Linked DNA regions of Nothobranchius furzeri. The protein of the gene in region 2 purifies or fractionates together with the protein of the main gene of each other region. This does not show direct contact. Links are inferred from orthologs where the notes say so. Each region holds a gene or a part of one and is shown on either strand. Other genes may lie near its edges. The genes, in order: capzb and washc3.

Region 1 (4,082 bases), on a different chromosome or scaffold from region 2:
TACGCAACATGTTTAACGTGAGGTATCAGAACCATGATGGAGGGATTTACATTTCAGTGGTGGAAACAAAACCTGTTGCACACTGCTGCCAACTAGCGGGTGGCGATTGAATTGCACAAAACGAAAAGAAAATGCACAAATGTTTGCATGTAAATTCTTTCAAGAATGAGATACACAGCTTTTGAATATCGATGTAATAATCACAGGAAAAAATACCACGATATATTGCCATATCGATATTTTCTTACACCCCTAATTCCCTGAGAAGGCTGTGTGAACAAAACCTGGCTGCGCAGAGATGGGCCAGCCCAACCTAGACTGCCATATGAGACAGGACCTTAGTGGGCAGACCAGTTGCAACAGGAAACTGTTTTAAGGAGTGACATTTTTAAGGTGAGATAACAGGCTGCAGAAGTGTCTACACATGTTTTCATCCAACCTTTACCAGACAGACAGAAACAAAGTCTTCAGAGATCACATGTAAATCTTATTGCTCCAGCACTTACATAGTTAAGGTGCTAAAATATACACTAAAACACAACAGATTACACCTATGTGTGCCCTTAGTTTGCAAAAAAGTCAAAGAATTGTTGAGCTATGTATATGCTTCTTTTACGCTCTCGTTTTTGTCATGCTTTTATTTTGAAGGTGTTAAGAGTGCTTACGTGACTTCCTGACTCCAAACAGGTTGGTCAGATGAAATTTAAGGTAATGTGTCTCACCTGTGTGTGTGTGCAGAGAGATGAGTAAAGCGTTCTGAGACTTCTCTTCCTCTGTCTTTGTGAACTAAGTTGAACCGCTGATAAATGTAAGCTCTGCTAACAAGAATGACAAACGACACAAAACCCAATCCAATGCTCCTATAAACCAACAATAAAGTATGTTGAAACAGAAGAAAAACAAACAAACAAACCCCTATCTCAACAAAATGTGTTATACCAGATTAATTCACTTCCCTTACAGATGTAAACAAAACCATCTAACATGGGTAATCCACACCTGAAGTGTGCAAACATACTAAAGTACATAAGAATGCATCAACCATCTGGTACAAGAATAATGACATGCTACAAAGCAGAGAGCCCTCTGAGCATAAATATTTTCATTAAGGCTAAAACAGAACATAACAGATGTTTATAGGAAGTGTCTCGCATAAAATCTCCCGTCACAAAGGTCACTTTTTAAAATCAATTTCTAACTGATGAATCACTCTGCTTCATTAAACACCCGTGTTTCTTGACAATGCATTTACAAGTGCTGCTGTCTTCATGTAAACACCGATCAGACGAGCAACTTCTGGGGTCATAGGAGAACAGACTAAAGACGGGGGCAGCTGTTCTACTTGGTTTAGTTCCTGTTGACGTCAAACAGTCATGCTGCCTACTTGTGGAAAGAAAATGCTAAAAAACTGGATGTAAAATGAAGCTAGTAAAAGGGTTTGAGTAGAAAACAAATACGTTTGAATTTTAAGAGATAAGCATCATATCTATTAACAAATGCCACCCTCTGCATTGTATTGTGTGTTTGAACTTTTGTCAGGAAACAAACGCGAGTTGCTGAAACTTTGGGCAACAAATTAACTGAAGCAGAAAAGAGATTCATATTATCTCAGTGTTATGGAAAACCTGTTTGATATCACTTGAATGGAACAAGCACTCATGCGGTGTTAAGTGAATGAGTCTTGTCAAACTAGTAATTCAGATAAATAACAAGCATCTTTTTGGTTCTCTGGAGTCACCACGAGACTAAAAAAAGGCTTACAGAGAGTTTGGAAAACTTAGAACATTAAAATATGTTGCTAAACATAGAAAAATATTGCAGCAACTGTTTTATTACATTTTTAAATAATTTCATTAACAGTTAATATTCTAACCCTTGTAACTTTTGCTGTTATTTTCACACATATCTGGGGTTCATACAATTCAATAGATTAAACAGTTAGAAAAATTCTGTCATTTTGTTTAGTTCAATATGATGTTTTATGGATTAATTTGACATAACATACAAAGGTAACCATATTTTAAGGCTGACGAGAATAAAATTAGACTAAAAATAAGTCATGTGAACATGGAGACTGGGCTGGACTGGGTGTCAGACCTATCCAGGAAAATGTAGAGAAAGGCAGCCAACTTGTCATGATTAGAAATAGTAGGAGCAAGCGCTCTTATTTTAGCTGCGAGCCACTCCGTGCTTGGCTGTTTCAGCCAGAGTAAAAGGGTGGATGAACTGTGTGAGTGTGTGTGAGAGAGAGAGCTAAATTAGGATTGATCCCTGCTGTAGCAAACTTGTGTCAAATACAAAACATCCTGTGTTAACTTTACCTATGAGGCAAGTAGATTGACTACTGTTAGCAGGAAGCTAACTAGCAACTTAGCCATGAAGCTAAATAATACTTTTCGCCACGCAGAAGTTCTGCTAGCCACGCAAGTTGGATGCACTCAGTGATTTGTGCTCCGTGCTCCTCTCAAATTACCACCCAGCTCCTCCAACCAGCAGCTGAGTGAAAAAGCAACCGCAGCCAAAGCCTAAAACCCCATCTCCAACCAGCTTCTCCGAGGGCCTTACCATGTCTGCGGCGGTCTCAGCGGGGATCGATATCACCGATGACTGTACACCTTAGCTTTGTGGTGATTTGCCAACGTACTTCTCTGGTCTCTTGTCGTTTTTATTTATACTTAGTACCCCGCGGAAGATGTTTTGTTCGCCTCTCCCTTTCTGAACCCAGCCCTGTCAGCGAAATTTACTTCCTCAACCCGGGCTATAGGAAGGAGGCTGCGGTGAGAAAACAGGCCCCGCTTGTACATCCGGGTCACTGGGGGTTAGTTTGCATCAGCCAATAGCGACGGAGCAAGAAAGGCATTGCCAAGTATGGAAAGAGATGAGCTTAGCAGCAAATATGCAGCCAGGGAGGGCGGAAGATGGACAGCTACTGAAAAAAAAACTATAATTGCAAACTGAAACTACAAATAAATAATAATAACAACATAAAAACCTGTCATCCATATTACAATTAAAATTCTTCCTGTCAACATTTATATAATTAGAACTGAACATTATCATTTGAAACTGGCCGTGTTCAGAAATTTAGTTTTGCTCAGTGACCGTAGAAAGAGGTTTTGCTGTTTTATGCATTCTTTATCAAGGTTGTTTCATAGAATGCTTAGGCAATGTTATTCAAATATAGGTCTGCAAGTCATAAATTTCAGACTTCATGAATCATGAGAGGATTAATTAAAAATGATAAATCAAATGCAAATAAAAGATTTTGTTTAATCAAAATTTTAAAAAGATGCTCAGTTACTGAAAAACTAAACATACCTGTGTTTTGAAATCGGAACAAAATGTAGGACACTTCTGACACATCTTTATTTATTTATAGTAAATGGCCTGCATGTGTTCTCATATACCTTCTAGAGTTCTACAACCCTCCAAGGCACTTCACAACACAATCAGTCATTCACCTGTCCCACCCCCTCCCCCAATGTTTTCCAATGACATTTTTTTGTCCTCTTCACTTTTTACCATCCAAAAACAATATCACGCTGTATTAAATAGACATTGGTTGACCACTAGGACCAAGCAGAAAACAACCACTTGTGTTTACGCCTGTTTCTCATTAGAACCATCCATGAGCTCATCTATTGGCTCTGCTGATACTTACTAACGTGTGATTGGCCATTCTTGTTGTCGTTCCAGGTTGTAAACAGGATGTGCTTTCATCATCGGGATCTCCTGATAAATCCCTGCTTGATCAGGCGCTCCCCTCCCAGATTCGCCGGCGCCACAAACGATTCTCAGGTGGATTCAATCCCATATCGGTAATCAAGGCTTATGCACACCTATAGGCAGCCCTTGTTAATCGATGCTAGATAAATGAGAATGGAAGTAAAGGACAGAGCCTCGTTCTTCATCTAGACATCCCCCATGTCTAAAGTCAAAACCACATCCTTGCATTCACCCATGCACAAACACATTCACACGGTAGTGATGATTAGCTACAATGTAGCCACAGCTGCCCTGGGGTGCACTGATGGAAGTGAGGCTGTCTAGCACTGGTGCCACCAGTCCCTCATACCACCACC
Region 2 (4,791 bases):
TTCACCCGTTCCTTTGTCTCTCCGACTGCTTTGAGCATGTACATGACACAAGAATTTCCCTCGGGATAAATAAAGTTGTTCTTATCTTATCTTATCTTCTATGATCAGGTGTCTCACAGCTAAAAATACTTCCAAAATGGACGTGGACAGTGGATCGCTGAATAACGTGCAGCGTCATTGTGCAAACATGACATACATCTCATCACAAATGGCGCAAGCCTGTCTTGTTTGCACAGTAACGATGGGAATTAATCAGCGAGACCCAATCTATACTTCAGTTTAAGTCTGACCACTTTGGTGTAAAGAGGAGTTCATGTTTGACTCAGTCACTGCAGAAATAAGCCCAAATCATCAGCCCCCTGCCACCGTGCTTTACAGAGGACAGGAGGTGTTTGAGCTGACCTGGTGCACTGTTTTAACCAAAAGTGATGGCTTGTTTACTGACCTCGGCCTGAACTCTGTGCTGCAGACTCAGGAAATCTGCCCTGAAGGTTTTCCACCTTTCTCACTGTAAATATGTAACGTCACACTTCTGGATAGGATTTTACAATCCTGTCAGAGTGTGAGGAGGACAATCAAAATCCAATCCGATCACTATGCAAACAAAGCAGCCAGTAACAAACATACTTCTTTGAAGGTTCTCAAAACTAAAAGTCTATCCTTTACAACAGGAGGGGAATGTTGAGCCTTTTTTGTACGTAAACTCCAAAAGAAAACAAAACAACAGTTGCGTTGACGGCAGGTTTCTACTTGTTGCATCGACCAAAGAGCTGATGACAATCTACATTCCGACTTAAAAAGAAAAGTTCAACTGCCGATTTTTGGCATCACAGACTCCCAAACAAGAAAAAAGACACAAAGACTGTTTTGGCATTCATCGTGGCCGATTGAACCTGCATGTCTGTTGCAGGTGGGTCTGAACTCCTACCTCTGAGGAAGAAGGTGGTCCTGCTGCTACACCGTTAGTTAGGTTCTGACCGATAGTACTGGGTCCTTTAGTGTGGGAGGCCTGCTGTTGGTTGAGGCCCTCTACTGTGACGTCCTCCAGTCCAGGAATAGAGGACAGCTGCTCAGAACAATGTCACTGCATAAGTGAAAAGACAACATCCAGAAACGGTATCAAGGTCTCACAAGTTACCTTAGCCTCTAAAATGCTGAGTGTGGTTTCAATCTGCTGTATGCGAAGAGAAATGTTTGCAAGTTTCTGTGAAGAGAAGTAAAAAAAATAAATAAATACATAATTTGAGTTCATATTCTGAGGCAGAAGAAGCATTAAGGAGTAAAAAACAAACAAACAAACACAAACCTCTTCACACACGGTGGAAAACTGGTTAAGAAATCGTACGGTGTGCACAACAAACTGGTTGAGAAATCCAACGATTCGTCTCTGCTGTATTGCAGGAACCTGAGAAAAGATAAAAGCAGTATAATTAAAAACTTACCAAGTGTTACTATAGTTTATTTTACTAAACATAAACCTCTAGTATAATTGATTTTTGAATGTTATGGCTTTAAATAATATTGAGGGGATTCTAAAATGACTTTTAACTACTGCTGTTAAAATGTTTTTTGTAAATCTTTATTGAAACAAAGCAGTACAAAACAACAATTAACACCAGGGAGAATAAACAACATCTACATAAACAGACCAGGGTCATGTGTTAGCAGTGTTATTTAAACAACACAATAACATACAGTAACCTGTGGATTATTGCAAAGTTTCAAGTATTTGAGAGAATTTTAAAAGCAGCTGAGTTCTACCTTTAAAGTCTTGCATCAAACAAAATGCTAATGGCAAAAAGAATGATGAAAACTATCAAATCTGATTTTCTGTGTTGGGTAGTTACTAATTATATTTACTTGAGTATTTTTAGGAAAAAGAAATGCAACATTTTAATTAAGTCTTTACATTATATAATTTATCATATAACATTATACTATTATCTGTTTGAATGGATTTTATAAATTAAAGGAGCTGTTATGATTACTCATTATTTGAGCAGCTTTTTTGCAAACACAGTTTTTGTACTTTTTTTTAACTACTCAAGTAAACATATATGAAAGTAATGCTACTCTTATTTGAGTATAATCTCTGGCTACTCTACCCACATGTCTGACTTTGCATATAATGGATGCAAATCGGTGTGGAGGAAAAACATTTGGAATAACAGACTACTGTATATCAGGTGTTGTGCCGAAAAGAGCACGCCTACCGAAATGTGTATCCCCGTCGAAAGACGCAAATTGAAGAAGAATTTGAATTATGAGCAATTCAGAATTTGAACACGTTTCTAATCCGTGTTTCTCCTGAAAAGATTTTGTTTTTGACTACAAATATGATGAAATAATGATTAAATAATTGACCTTTTTCAACACGTTTGACACTAATGTTTTAGCAAGTATTAAACAATTTTGTTGGTTTAAAAAAGCAGACTCAAAATGACTAACCTTTTATATGTGCATTATATTACTTAAAATAAAACATGTTATAAACAGTAGTTTATTTTACTTATTTGCTCATAAACCATCATTTTGTAAGGAAGGATGCAGCTCATGTTGTACACATTTATTAAAAAGCGGTCTCATACGCGCCTTCCCGCAGGGGATGCACATTTTCGCAGACAAGCTCTTTTCGGCACAACACCGGTAATAGAATCTAATGAATGATGTATTCAAATAGAACATCAGTGTTCGGAGAGAAAACGTTCTTTCCTCTTTTGATACTTCTTTAGAACAAACCAAAAGGAAAATGACTAGGCAAACAGTTACAAGTAGGTGAAATTAGTTAGAAAAAGGCCACAGTTTTCTCTGCATTAGTGATTATATATTTTGTTAAAAAGCACAAACATAGCTTTGGGTTCTCAGGTTTTCAGTGTTAGCTAACCAGTTAGAAACACAAACCTTCGTAAGATCGACTCCTGACCCGACTAACGGCAGGCCGTCCTCGTCCATGTTAGCGTTTTACACTTCCTGTGAATAGGAATGTGGTTTCAGGTCTAATGGCACGAAATTTGAAAGAAAAAATGACATGAAACAAAACATTTACACCGTTGAAGGCTTCACGTGACACTGAGCAGTGTGACTGGCTACGTGATTACGTCACTCTAGGAAAAGGAAATGATTAACTTTTATTTTGAAGAGGCATCAATGCACTCGAATTCACACTTTTATATTTCGAGCTGTCGAAATTTTCTAAACTTTTTCTTTATCTAGTCATTGGCTTTGAAGTAAAAAAGAACTTGAAAATAATAGCATTCTGAAATTCATTAGAAAACACCAAAACACGTCTTTCAGACATATATTTTGAAAAGCGGAAACTTGAGTGAATACTTGAGGAAGCGATGCTTGCGCTCTAATAGCGCATTAGCCACCAAAACAAACAGCACAAATATACACAGATTCCTCAAATTCACTTGGTGGGATGCTTTAATGGAAGTTGTGGAATCAAAAGAAAAAATGGAGGGTATGTATGTTACCAGTTTGCCTTTCTGATATTTTCTGGAGACGTGTTTGTTTTACTATCAGTGGGCTCTGTCTATTTAAAGGAACCACAATGTTCATTATTTGGCAGACTGTTGTTGTTGCGCAGTGGAAGTTAGCTTGCTGTTAAATGTACAGACACTCTTACGCGATATATTGTTTTAACTAAGTTGCGAAGCTTTTGAGTAACATCTGTGGACATTTTCCAGATTGTGTATCTAAAATGTTAAAGATCTGTCCAGGATTTTCTCCAGTTCAAAAGCCTGTAGCTCAAATTCAATTCAAGTTTATTTATACAGCGCCAAATCACGACAAGAGTCGTCTCGAGGCACTTCACATAGTTAACATTCCAATACAGGTCAGTTCATTAAGCCAATCAGGAAAAAAAGTTTCCTATATAAGGAACCCAGCAAACTGCATCCAGTCACTGACTGGTCTCAGTGACTTTAGCAAGCAAGCAAGCAAATGACAGACAACAATGTAACAGATCACGTGATTGTTTTATTGCTTGATTGTTTTTAATTATCTGTATGAAGCCAATAACTGTTTCAGTTATGTGTAAAATGTGAGAACTTTGCAAAATCACATCGTGAAAATTTTATCCACCTGCTGTTTCCTGCAAGTACTCTGAATGCTCTCTGAATTAGGGGGTGTGTTACTGCCCTCCATCGGTCATTTCTGACTTTACACATTAATGTTTCAGACCCAAACTTCCCTTTGCCCTCCTTTCGCCTCCTGGTGCCTCCCTTGCATCTTCTGTCTGCTGCTATGTGGAATCTGATGAAGGGGAAAGATGTGATGAACTATGGGAAGCTGCAGGAGTTTGTGTCCATGCTGACAGAAGCAGTTCCTGGTTTGATCAACCACAGACAGAGAGCGCATCTCCTTCTCGGATTGAAGGCCAGGGTGAATGGTGTTTTGTTTCACATGCAAACGTTCTTGTTTTGGTGTCTCAGTCGTGCATTAACATATTTTGATGATATTTCAGTTGATTTTGGAGTTGTGCAAGGGTTCTGCTCGACACGATGTTGATTCTGATGTGATCCAGACCTACTTGGAGGGATTCCCAGTTACCTCTGCAACCACAGACGTATGTAAACTAATGATACTTGATGCAAATGTCAATGTTTTCTTGAAGAGCGCTCTCTGAGTGATATGATATGATTTTTTTTGCAGACTGTGGACACAGAGGTGAGAACAACCGAGTGCACTTTTATTGCACTTGTTCAGAGCTTGCTCAAAGATCCGGCTGAAAGAGCATATTTTTTTCAGGTGAGGCAACTTTTTAAAACAAACTTATCTGACTGAACT

Evidence for each region.
Region 1: the proteins of washc3 (region 2) and capzb purify together in Homo sapiens (co-immunoprecipitation; 4 studies listed by BioGRID and IntAct, with this or other methods). This does not show direct contact. The link is inferred for Nothobranchius furzeri from reciprocal best matches to the Homo sapiens genes WASHC3 and CAPZB.

What each region holds. Positions count from the first base shown.
Region 1 is NC_091743.1:46,417,071-46,421,152, reverse strand, and holds the start of capzb (F-actin-capping protein subunit beta), read right to left. Parts: upstream 2,801-4,082; 5' UTR 2,569-2,800; coding exon 2,566-2,568; intron 1-2,565. UniProt on the Homo sapiens protein: F-actin-capping proteins bind in a Ca(2+)-independent manner to the fast growing ends of actin filaments (barbed end) thereby blocking the exchange of subunits at these ends.
Region 2 is NC_091741.1:43,372,052-43,376,842, forward strand, and holds the start of washc3 (WASH complex subunit 3), read right to left. Parts: upstream 3,088-4,791; 5' UTR 2,953-3,087; coding exon 2,902-2,952; intron 1,406-2,901; coding exon 1,307-1,405; intron 1,205-1,306; coding exon 1,139-1,204; intron 1,067-1,138; coding exon 929-1,066; intron 1-928. Other genes in the region: uncharacterized protein, read left to right, coding at 3,430-3,463, 4,184-4,386, 4,469-4,570, 4,657-4,752. UniProt on the Homo sapiens protein: Acts as a component of the WASH core complex that functions as a nucleation-promoting factor (NPF) at the surface of endosomes, where it recruits and activates the Arp2/3 complex to induce actin polymerization, playing a key role in the fission of tubules that serve as transport intermediates during endosome sorting.